3 linked regions of the Nothobranchius furzeri genome follow. The protein of the gene in region 1 purifies or fractionates together with the protein of each later gene. This does not show direct contact. Links are inferred from orthologs where the notes say so. Each region holds a gene or a part of one and is shown in the gene's direction. Other genes may lie near its edges.

Region 1 (3,648 bases):
TCATTAGCTCTTACTTTAGATTTTGGGAATTTTCTGATGTGTAATTGTGATGTTCAGTTTGTTACAGGTCGCATTGGATAAGCAAATGTGGTAAAACAGATTTAATTCATGTCATTTAAAGATGTAAAGGAAACAAAATTAGTCCTCCAAAGGGGCTGATTCTGTTCTTCACCCACCGTGTGAAAGAGTGGAAAGATTAAAGCCGTTGTTGGCAAAAATGTAAAAAAAATTCCCGTTTGCCAGGATTTGTTTTGGGAAGTAATTCCCAAATCTGGAGTTGGGACCTCACTGAGAATCACCAGGAGCTTCACCGGGAGATAACTTCCAGAAATCAAAGTTAAATTGAAAAACATTTGTTGAAGCTATACTTGGAAAAACTCAACTAAATAGTCAGATTCAGTTTTTTTTTTTATATAAAATGTTGAGTATGTCGGTAAGATTCTACTTTGTGTTGGTCTATTGCAGAAAACATCAATAAAAAACGTAGTTTGTGGCTAGAAGGTGTCAAAACGTGTTCAGTTTCTTTGCAATAAATCCTAGTTTCAGGCATAAATACAAAGTTTCTGCTTTGCAGAGTTTGGAGTCTGAAACGCTGAGAATCATCCGGAGTAGGAACGAGACGGAAGAATCTTCTTGGCTGCTATCGGATCAAGACCGAGACGGAAACTCTGCTGATTTAGTGGAAATAGAAGAAGGCAAGTGATCGACGTTACATTTAGTCCTTTTAAAAAAAGATTTCATTTTATTATAACGAAAATTTGGCCGTCACATCTGGATCTACATGTGTTTAACTGGTGTGTGTGAGACGTCATCGTAGTGCTCTTCATGTCTGTAAACTCTGATAAATGACCTGTAGGGTTAGAGGCGACACATTTTTTTTACAGTAAAGTCCTTAAGTATGTTTCAGAAATAGAATCTATTATCCAGACAGAGTTGTAAGAAAATGACTACTGCCTACATTTTAGGCCTTTATGATGTTCCACCCATTCAGCTGGTAACACCTTAAAACCGTTGAGGCGCTTGCACAGATTATGTTGCATCTGCAGCTTTCCTCGCCAGTTTTATAATTTAGTTCCTCCTCAGCAGAAAGGTCTGGAGAGTACACGGAGGTTCCTTTGGGTGCTTTGGACATTGCTGCAGCTGACAGTCTGACTCTTTCTCCTACCGGTAACTAAGTCTCATCTCGTTGTTCCTTTTAAGAAAAGTGGTAAATGGCCTATATTTGTATAGCAGGGTATCCGCGGGTCCTTAAAAAGTCTTAAATTTGCTTTTCCAAATTTAAGGCCTTGAAAATCCTTAAAAATGACAAATAATACTTAAATCCAGTTTCCAAAGGTCTTAAATTACCAAAGACCCAATAAACAAGATTATTTTATTTCTATAAAAATTTTCGTGAATTCCTAGTTGGTGTTCAGCATTTTTTGTGTACGATGTTGGCGTAAGCGGAACCGTACACATTCAGTTGGTTGTGAAAGGGGGCTATTTTTAGATGAGCACATTAGCTGGTTAAGCTAGTGGGAGCTTGCGCCATGGGAAGTGCAAGTTTAATGGTAACTGGATGGTTAATCCCACGTTCACAACCGGTTCCAGGCAATAGTTGGAAATTATAGCTTAAATTTAATTTTGAAAATAGCTTAAATTTGGTCAAAGTGGTCTTAAAAAAGGTCTTAAAAGTCTTAAATTTGGCTCCCTTAAACCTGCAGATATCCTGTATAGCACCTTCTTAGGGTTCTACAACCCCCCCCCAAGGCACTTCACAACACAGTCATTCACCCATTCACACGCACTTTCACACACTGGTGGGATGAGCTACAATGTAGCTACAGCTGCCCCGATAGAGGCAAGGCTGCTGAGCACTGGCACCAGCGGTCCCTCCGACCACCACCAGCAGGCAAGAAAAGATGCTTCAGTGTGATTAAGCTGTTTGAAGCTAACGTCCGTCGCCTTCCTGTCCAGCAGAGGGAAGCGATGCCGGCGACCTGGAGCGTCTGGAGGAGCTCCCCTTGTGCAGCTGCAGGATGGAGGCTCCCCGTGTGGACAGCACCAGCCAGCGGGGCAGCAGACAGTGCATGGCCACAGAGAGCATCAACGGAGAGGTTGGTCTGTGTTTACCCGTTTGCGTTAACTAGCAGCTCCCTGGATGTCCAGTCCTCCGTGTGAGGGTGTAAAGGCAAAACCAGTGAGAATCTGCCTAAAATTCCAGATAAACTGCTACCTGTGCTACAATCGTAGAGAAGCTAGAAGTCTCAGATTTTGTCTAAAGGGTTTAAAACGTATTCATATTTCTGCTTGTTAGCTGCAAGCGTGCACCAGCTGGACCATTAAATGGGAAACCATGAGGCCGTCCAGTCGGGTCCCACTCATGGTGCTCTGTGATGTCCATCGCTCTCACATGGTCAAACACCACTGCTGCCCCGGCTGTGGATACTTCTGCATCGCTGTCAGTGTTCTCGCTTGATGTTTGCTCTCTTTCTATTTCTCCAAGTTTTCTCTTTCATATGTTACTTCCTTTTTGTTTTCAGGGCACTTTTCTGGAATGCTGCCCAGACCAGCGCATCGCTCACCGTTTCCACCGCGGCTGCGTGACGGTGCTGAGCGGTGGGCGCAGCAGAGCGAATGGCGGCGGCATGCTTTTCTGTCCTCACTGTGGCGAAGATGCCTCTGAGGCGCAGGAGATCACCATCCCCTCCTCGGCTTCCGCGACCACCGTCGTCACCATGTCGGCCTCCTCCACCACGACTCCCTCTCTTCCTCCGTCGGTCCCGATGGCTCCCTCTCTCTCTGCCTCAACAGGAGGAGCGAAGGATGGAAAGATCCCTGAACGACCTATTAGGTAAGATCAGATCATTGGACGGTTGTTCATTTAGCAAAACTCACATTTTGATTCCATTTGTGCTGCCATGCGGGTCTATTGACTTAAACACTCCAAACATGAAAAAAACATCCATCAGTTTTCTGTCCGCGTTTGGTTTAAGGAGGTTTGTGCCGAAACTAGGGTTGTCACGATACTAAAATTTCAAACTCGATTCGATACTGGGGGGGGGGGGGGGGGGGGGACTCGATACTCGATACACAGTAGGACAAAGGTACATCTACCGGTAATCTTAATAAAAACAGATTGGCGCACGGCAGTGACGTCATTAAAAGCGCCGGTTAGATTAGCCGCGGCTAGTCTGTTCACGCCTAGAAATCCCAGACCCGCTCCAAACGAACAGGGGAATCACGTTAATTATTCCTAAAAAAAACTTTCGACATTGAGATGTTTTGGTGCAGATAATGTCTCATTTCGAGGCTACACCATGGGTGCCCGTCCGCACCCGTTATATGGATATACGCTGATGGCGATTCGCCGATGGATCTAAATACCCCGGGGAATCCAAGTAGCACCAAAGTTGTCAGCGTGAGTAAACAAACGTACTGCATGCTAGAAATGAAGTCCGGGTTGCAATAAACGGGAGTTTCCTTTAAGCACATAAGCGTGAATATACAACTACGTGTCGGACTTGGTATGCTAATGAAGTTGGGCTGTGAAACGCCTCCCAAATTCGCTGTTTATGTTTTTGTTTATTTATTTGGCAGACAAAACTTGGATCGGAGACAACTCGCGTTGGAAATTGCAATGTAGCCATGCGGCGTCTTCTTCTTCTG
Region 2 (4,144 bases), on another chromosome or scaffold:
TCGAAAAACAATCTGTCCAGGGTCAAAGTGCAGTCATCTGTGTCCATCATCTCTTAAGAGAAGCTCCTCAGTTAGAGCACAAAATCAAATCAGTCAACTTGAATCTTGTGGAGCAACATCTGACTACAGGAACAAAGTGAATTCTAAATTAATCTCCCATGATCTTTCAGTGTAAATCCAACCCTCTCAACAAAGCAATTACATCATCATTAGGAAGTGGGTGAATTGTTGCTGTTAGATGTATTAAACTATATCCACTGTTTAATGTTTGCATGCACAGCCTACCTTTAGGTTTTAAACAGGTGTTACATTTAGAAAAGTGACTGATAGGACAAAGCTGTAAAAACTGTTAAATTTGTGGTTAAAGAGGGCAAATTATGACGTAAATGTTTTCAATAAAAAATCGTTCACAACTAGTTTTTACCAAGCTTTGATAGCTTTATGCTAGTGACCAAAAGCTAACAACACAAATATCGAGCGTTTTTAGCAGTTTGACTATATGGTAATTCGGCAGAGCTATTTTATAAGTTATCTTTGTGAACTTACCTAATAAGCAAGTTTATAACACACTGTTCTGTAAATTAAGTTGAATGCTTTACCCAACTACATTTGATAGTTAAGCTAATTTGGCTAAAGCAAACAGCTCGAGACTGCTGACCTCATAAATCTGTAATAACTTTATTTAAACGTGCTCATTTTGACAGACAAGTGTGTGTTCAGTCAGACAGCCCACTGGCTACAACTTGCTATAGAAAACTGCCTAAAGCAGGTTGATTCAAGGAATATTTTAAAGAGTATTTAAACAGGCCGTGTTTTCCCGGTAAAAAAAAAAACGCCAGATGGGGTTAAAAAGGAAAATTACCGGTCACAAAAGCAACAAAGCCTGGGCTCCATCAACATTTATCCCCTCATTCCCGTCTACATCTTACTGACAAACTATAAACGACAACAACTGTTTGTTTGCATCTGAAATGTCCAAACCAAATTGCATCTTAACGCTCATTGTATGTTATTCATTTTAACGATGATTATCCGCCATCATATAAAAAATCTGCTGGCCAAAAGAAATGGTCATTAGCTCTGAATTTTATGCCTCCTATCTGGAATGAACCATTACTGGGTTTTCAGGGGAGCATCATGGCGCCGCCGCGTCACAATACGTAGCGAAATGTTCATAAGAGGTTAGTCCTGTAACTTGTCAACAGCGGCTATCTTTGTAAAGAGCCTCAATATTTTAGACCGTAATTTTGGAGGCTGTTTGTTTTGTAGCAGCGGGGTTAACTGGACGTGTGACACCCTTACAAAATGATCTGTCCCACACCAGACCACCACGGAAAATGGCGACTGTGAAATAGATGGAAGACGAAAGTAAGAAAATATTAAATGCAGCGTTTAACTTCTCATCTGCTTTCATCCACACTGCTCGGAGGTAACGTTGGTTTGTTTACTGTCGTGTTACTAACATGTGAATAGCAAAAACGCGAGGGATTGTTGTCGTTAGCTCTAGTTTAGCCTTAGGAAAAGGTTTTGATGTGGAACAGCCTTAATGGAATAGTCTGCAGATCCTGCAAGCAGCATCCAACAACACAGCGTGTTTTAAACGTGGAAGAGAAGCTAATATACCAACCAAGCGCAACTGTTTAGGTCAGCCTTGCTCTGAAAGTAGTTCCATGTCATAGTACATCCTAACTATAGTGAGTCGACTGAACTCTTCCTGAGCTGAAAGTTTTAGCTGTGTACAAAATTCACCAGCGCTCATAAAAAGCCATTTTCAGTGTCCATTCTTTAGCAGATTTAGTGCTGCTGCTCCAGGGGTACACCGCTTCAGCTGGCATGACACTTTTAATGTCCTTCAAATTCAAGACCCCTCACTCCATCGACCTTGTAGGTTTATAATAGGCCATAAATAAACAAAAGTCGGTTCTATTTTGCATTGGCTTCAGGCGTTCTGTTGGTGATAAACACGTATTAGTCTAAGAATTACCTCAGAAGCTTCAACCACAGATCACTTAATCAAAATGCACATTTTATTTTGCAAGAGCATTCAAAATAGTATTAATGTGGCAGGGTGGAAAGGCGAGGGCCCGGGTGGGATTCGATCCCCAGACTCCCGGGTGAGAGTCATACGCTCTGGCCAGTCAGCCAAAGGGACATCCCCTTGGCCAAGTAGCCAGGGTGCATGATCAATTGGGACACTGTGACAGGATGCTCACACTGCCACATTAAGTAAAAAAATTCAAGAAATTATAAACTAAATATATCCTTTTCGTTTTTGTTATAGCAACATAAAATATAAATGGGAATTAAAGCTGCAAGCAGCGTCGTTCGCCCTCGCAGCTCCGCGCTGCTCCGGCCTGGCCGGCAGCCCGGCGCACCAGGGCACGTCCGCGGAACAGAAACAACAGCCACCCCGACACCAGAAACCGCTAACGATCACCTCTTCCACACCTCACCCTGACTCAGCATCCCCTCTGAGCCCACCATTATATTACACGTCTCACCAATAGGGCAAACTCTATCTTTACAACACGGGTGGTGTGATGACACAGACCACCTGTAATGCTTTTCTGGCCACGTTTTTTGAAGTTATTGTAGGTTAAAGTTATCTAGGGTGTGCTGTGACCAACTACAGAAAAATCCCATTGAGGTCAGCTTTGGTTGACAAGATGTTTTTCTGTTCATTTGGCATCAATCGGACAAAGCGTGTTTTGGGGCAGAGTTTTAATGAATCTAGCGATCGACGGTGGCACAGGAGTTAAGTGCTCGCCCCGTAATCGGAAGGTTGCAGGTTCGAGCCCCGCTCAGTCTGTCGCTGTGTCCTTGGGCAAGACACTTAACCCACGTTGCCTGCTGGTGGTGGTCGGAGGGACTGGTGGCGCCAGTGCTCAGCAGCCTCGCCTCTGTCAGTGCGCCCCAGGGCAGCTGTGGCTACATTGTAGCTCACCCCCACCAGTGTGTGAATGTGTGTGTGAATGGGTGAATGACTGAATGTGTTGTAAAGCGCCTTGGGGGGTTTCAAGAACTCTAGAAGGCGCTATATCAAATACAGGCCATTTACCATATTTAAGGAAATAGGCCACGCCCACAAACTTCAGCTGTCTTTATCTCTTGGGGGTCAGACTAGGATCACTCACCAGAAGTTTCGTAGCGATATTACGATAACTGAAGAAATGAGAGGCAAAGGTATTTCCATGGCGTGATGGCGATTTTCGCCATGCTCCCAAAGCCCCGCCCTTTTTTGAAACCTGCCAGTACTGGATACCAAGTGACCTCACGTTGTCTACTGCTATTAGCCAGAGATTCCTGGTGATTGGGTAAAAGGAGTTCAGTAGGGAGCTGTGAAAAAAAGAGTGGCGTGGTGACAGGTCAAAGTTTGAGGCTTAGCCACGCCCGTACCTTTCAACTTTTGAAAAATCCGACTGTTGAATTTTTTCCTCTATGTCTTAAGAGTATATAGCAGAAGTTTGAAGGCCATTGGTGAAAAGGGCGACGGAGCATCACTCTCCAAACAACGTGTGCGAAAACCACTAAATCGCGTACTTGGACCAAAATGGCCGACTTCCTGTGCGACTTTGCACATGGCTCCAAGATACTTTTTTGTAGGTCCTGAGACACCACATTAGTGTACCAAATTTCGTAATCCTCAGTCAAAGCATGGCTTGGGGCTGACAGTTTTAATGGTCGTAGGGGGCGCTATTTAAGAAAATAGGCCACGCCCACAAATTTCAGCTGTCTATTTCTCTTGGGGGTCAGACTAGGATCACTCACCAGAAGTTCCGTAGCGATATCACGATAACTGAAGAAATGAGAGGCAAACGTATTTCCATGGCGTGATGGCGATTTTCGCCATGCTCCCAAAGCCCCGCCTTTTTTTGAAACCTGCCAGTACTGGACACCAAGTGACCTCAAGTTGTCTACTGCTATTTAACAGAGATTCCTGCTGATTGGGTAAAAGGAGTCCAGTAGGGAGCTGTGAAAAAAAGAGTGGCGTGGCGCCAGGTCAAAGTTTGAGGCTTAGCCACGCCCACACCTTTCAACTTTTGAAAAATCCGACTGTTGAATTTTTTCCCCTATTTTTTAAGAGTCTATAGCAGAAGATTGAAGGCGATTGGTGAAAAGGGCGATGGAGCATCACTCTCCAAAC
Region 3 (4,428 bases), on another chromosome or scaffold:
CCGTAGGCTCTCGTCTGTTGTCTCGAAGCTCAGGCCTCCGATGAACAGCTTGCGGAGCTGCTCCGGCTCACGTGGAACCTGCACAAAAATATTTGCGTCATAGGAGAAGCAATGCACAATATAGTTCCGCATAATAATATTGTCGGTGGACCATTTATATCAAACTCTGCGTCTTTGATCAAAAATCAGGGATAGGGTGGAGAAGGCGCACCGCCGCCATTACAGTTTAGGAACCGCTCAGACTAAAGTCAAAGAACTCCTTCTTTCAAAGAGCCAACACACAATTAATATGTACTCACTGTCGTTTAATGTGTTAGGGATATAATCGTTTAAGACTGGTGTTGAAGAGAAGCCACTGATGTCCTTTACAGATCATCATCAGAACAAAAGGCCACGAGGCTCAGCTTCTATAAAATGGCGGCTTCAAGAAAGCTCTGCAGCTACGGCACACAGTCCGTCGACAACACCAAGTATGGCCAACCTATAATAAAACTACCCAAAACCAAACTATTAATCTTACGGCCTGATATCCTTTGATAAGTTTAGCACTCACCTCTTTAGACATTTTGCCGCTTTATCCTTGACGACTCCTTGAGAACCGACCGCAGAGGAACTAGCTGCGTCAGACAAGACCAGCGACAGGGTGAACGTACAAGAAATAGGAACGGAAACGCCTCTTCCCCTCAGCGATTGGTCTGTAGTTCCCGCGGTACTGTGTCGTCAATCAGAACTGTATTTTGATTGGTCTAAATTTTGTCAATCAATGCGAACAACCATTCACTGCGTAGTAGGCATTCGCCTTTGTCGACCATGAAGAAAAATGGCCGACCTAAATTACATAAAGCCAAAAATGAATGTGCCTTCATCTATAAACAAATTATCTGAATTGACAGAGAAATTGAATGCTCACATTTAAAAGGTGCTGAAAAAACGACTTATTAACTTTTTTCTACGAAACGAGCCTAAGAAAGACAATAAACAATATAAAAGATAGACAAATTGCCGTCTGGCTAAACAACACGGGAAATATCATTCGCATGTTGGTACACAAGATGTCCCGTAATCAAACAAACCGATGCAAAATGTACAACTCTTGAAGAGTTTATGCTAAAGTATAATTTAAAATGAGCCAAATTAGTTAATCTGGGCTTTGTGTGTGGTGACTAAAGGGGGAAAATAACATGAACATAGAGAAATAAATAAATGCAGCAAGATTTAAACGAAAAATATATGAAAACATAAATTACTACAACAAAGTAGACGTATATATATTAATTTCTTTATTTTCAGTCAAATAATTGTAACCCTTTATGCTGTGTTTTTTTTTATTTTGTATTATCGTGTATACTTATTTTGTAAATTATTGTGACTGCAAGTTACTACAATTTTATAAACCGAACGTTAACGTTATAGAAAAGTTAAAATTTAGTAGGAAGGAACGTGTTTTCTAAACATTTATTATGTCACCAGCAGACTGGGGGCGGGTATGTTCATTGTGCGTTTTTAACGCGCGCTTTTTGCGCACGGCACCTTTATGTGCTACAGGCTAGATGCTAACGCTGGTGCTGCATTAGCTGCACTGCTGCCTCTAGATAAACGGAGCAGTCCCTGCGACCAGCGGCCTACATCCAGTGGGTTATACACTCCGAGGGTAAGAAACTGCGTTTTTGTAAATGTGCTTTACGCTGTTGCAAGTATCGGGTAGTTGTTTGATAAGTAAATTAGCGAGTATAGCATAGCTTTAGCACGTAAGCTAGCTCCTTTGGCTAGTTTGGGGTTAGTTAGCAGGACAAATCCCTTGGTCTTCATTGAACTGTGTGCTTTGTTCGTTTTCTGTGAGTGCAGTCTGGTCGCATATAACTATTTCAAACGGGCATATGTCGAGAAATGCACATGTATGGCCATTATATTAGCAGTTTTCCCATGCTTATCGTTCTGCTAGTGGGAAGAACGAGATTAAATGAAGATATTCATTGATGCACGGTAACCACGTTGTGTGGCTAACGCTCATGGTTGCAAACCTGCAGCTTGAGCTTAAATTTATGTGTTTACATGTGGACGAGCGCTGAGAAAAAATGGCATGTTTTGTGAGATGCTTGTTTGTGATTTCGTCGTGAACAGGAAAGTGCCATCGAACTCTAAAAGAGTGTAGTGTGAAGCACCCAACTCCGAGATGGGCAAAAAGTCACGTGAAGAGGAGTCCTCATCTGATGAAGAAGAGTATGTTGTGGAGAAGGTGCTGGACAGGAGGGTGGTGAAAGGCAGGGTGGAGTTCTTCCTTAAGTGGAAAGGATACTCTGAGTAAGTACCAAGTACCTGTTTACTGGTCAGTGACTTGATATTCCCGTTTTACACACACACACACACACACACACACACACACACACACACACACACACACACACACACACACACACACAGCACAAAAAGCATCAGTGAAGCTGGTTTGAGCACACAATATTACCCTTTTAAAAATGAACGTGACATTTCAATGACTTGTGCTGTGATTTTCTGCAGCAAGCACAACACATGGGAGCCAGAGAAGAATCTAGACTGCCCTGAGCTTATTTCAGAGTTCATGAAGACCTATAAGAAAAGCAGCAGCAGCGGTGGTAGTTCGACACCTAGCAGCGGGGCCAGTAAATCAAGCACAGGCTCATCTGGACGCACTAAAGATCCCAGCAGCTTAAAAAAGAAGGGCTCTGATGAAGAGGAGGAAGAAGAGGAAGGAGGAAGTAAGCCAAAGAAGAAGAAAGAGGTAAATTATCTTCATTATAGGTGAATTTCATTGACTACGTTTACATGCAGCCAATATCCGGGTTATGATCGGGTTAAGGTCGGTATTCGGGTTTCTGAGTTGATCAGAATAACCCGTTTACAAGCCCGTTTACAATAAATAGAAAGAGTTACCCCTAACTTGCATAACCCGATTTAAATGCGGACGGTGGGGTAGCGTCAAGACATATGGACTACGTCCAGACGCAATATGCCTCATTTCCGGTTCTTCTTGTTCCGGTATCCGTGAAAACAACAACACGTTTCCCAGTTCGGAAGAGACGGCGACCGCGTTTGTTTGTGCTTTAGTTTCTTCGTCACTGCGAAAGTGTGGTGCTGTGCCGCGACTCGCCATGTTGCTCCCAACTTGTTGTTTACTTCCGGTGTTCTGGCGCATACAAGACGTCTCGCTACTCAAAAGACCAAGATTCCTTGCGAACAGAGCATGTGCAGAACACACGCTTTGATGGGGATATCCCGGTATGCGTTTACACGACCAAACATTCGGGTTAGAAAAGGGTTACGCCAGGTGTAGTAACCGGGTTTTTAAAAACCCGGTTATGAGCATATCCAGGTTTTTGGCGGTGTTTACAAGGACCTGCGGAACCGGGTTATTGTGAATATTCGGGTTTTAAAAGGGTTACTGGCTGCATGTAAACGCACTCATTCTGATATGAATCATTTGTATGCGTGGGAGCATTTGTACTTAGCTCTTCTGAACTGATTTCTGTAAAGACTGTTTATATTTTAGCTAAATGTTGTAAAATGTATAATTTTGAGATGAAAATGATAAATTGTTTTTTTGAATTACCAATAATGCATTAACTTATGGGCAGGTGATGGGCAACACCTATACTTATTAAATAATATAAGTTATATCTAGATTTGACCTGTGTTTAGAATTGCTGAATTTATGGCCAATGAAATAGCCCTTTGGCAAATATTCAGCTGGCATTTTTAATTTTTTATTTTTTATTTTTTTACATTTCAGGATGAGATCCTAGTTGCACGTGGCTTTGAGAGGGGCCTAGAGCCAGAGAAGATCATTGGGGCAACCGACTCGTGTGGAGACCTCATGTTTCTAATGAAGTGGTAAGTTTTACTGGTAGACTCATTTTGGGAGATCTTCATTCTGTTATAATGACAATGCACTTACTTTTATGCACTTTGGTAATCATAATGCACCCATTTCGTAGTAAAACAAAATTTTCCTCAGACATAAACATTAGAAGCTAACCTAGCACAGGGGGGACTAACAGGCCTTTGTAGAGCTTGGTGACCTGCTGAACAGGTAATTCAACCATTCAGGTGTATTGCAGCAGTGAGATGACTAAAACATGCTGGGTATGGGGATCTCAGACACACTTGATCTAAGAGGACTACTATTCATTCTCGTATGACAAAGAAATATGCTTAAGTATTATAAAGTACTTACATTTTCAACTATTAAATGTCTAAAACAGAACTGGTTAAACGGTGCAGAATTGTTGCACCAGAGCACAGCACGATGTCCTATCATGAGCTTAAATGTCTAACAACCTGAATCTTTAACACCACATTACTACTGGCAAATCATTCATTAGCTAATCGCTGTTCCGTCATAAACAGTAAGCCACATCATAAAACTTTATGCTATTGCATATTAGCTAAATT

What was found. The genes of interacting proteins can lie anywhere in the genome.
Region 2: the proteins of ehmt2 (region 1) and znf644a purify together in Homo sapiens (affinity purification with mass spectrometry; 3 studies listed by BioGRID and IntAct, with this or other methods). This does not show direct contact. The link is inferred for Nothobranchius furzeri from reciprocal best matches to the Homo sapiens genes EHMT2 and ZNF644.
Region 3: the proteins of ehmt2 (region 1) and cbx5 purify together in Homo sapiens (affinity purification with mass spectrometry; 3 studies listed by BioGRID and IntAct, with this or other methods). This does not show direct contact. The link is inferred for Nothobranchius furzeri from reciprocal best matches to the Homo sapiens genes EHMT2 and CBX5.

The regions. Positions count from the first base shown.
Region 1 is NC_091759.1:8,520,524-8,524,171, forward strand, and holds part of ehmt2 (histone-lysine N-methyltransferase EHMT2), read left to right. Parts: intron 1-574; coding exon 575-695; intron 696-1,086; coding exon 1,087-1,167; intron 1,168-1,956; coding exon 1,957-2,096; intron 2,097-2,296; coding exon 2,297-2,440; intron 2,441-2,522; coding exon 2,523-2,833; intron 2,834-3,648. UniProt on the Homo sapiens protein: Histone methyltransferase that specifically mono- and dimethylates 'Lys-9' of histone H3 (H3K9me1 and H3K9me2, respectively) in euchromatin.
Region 2 is NC_091751.1:71,531,608-71,535,751, reverse strand, and holds the start of znf644a (zinc finger protein 644a), read left to right. Parts: upstream 1-1,229; 5' UTR 1,230-1,368; exon of another isoform or gene 1,369-1,429; intron 1,430-4,144. Other genes in the region: probable ATP-dependent DNA helicase HFM1, read right to left, coding at 1-50.
Region 3 is NC_091755.1:25,772,109-25,776,536, forward strand, and holds the start of cbx5 (chromobox protein homolog 5), read left to right. Parts: upstream 1-1,513; 5' UTR 1,514-1,651; intron 1,652-2,121; 5' UTR 2,122-2,173; coding exon 2,174-2,301; intron 2,302-2,517; coding exon 2,518-2,758; intron 2,759-3,766; coding exon 3,767-3,867; intron 3,868-4,428. Other genes in the region: heterogeneous nuclear ribonucleoprotein A1, read right to left, coding at 1-78, 554-565. UniProt on the Homo sapiens protein: Component of heterochromatin that recognizes and binds histone H3 tails methylated at 'Lys-9' (H3K9me), leading to epigenetic repression. In contrast, it is excluded from chromatin when 'Tyr-41' of histone H3 is phosphorylated (H3Y41ph).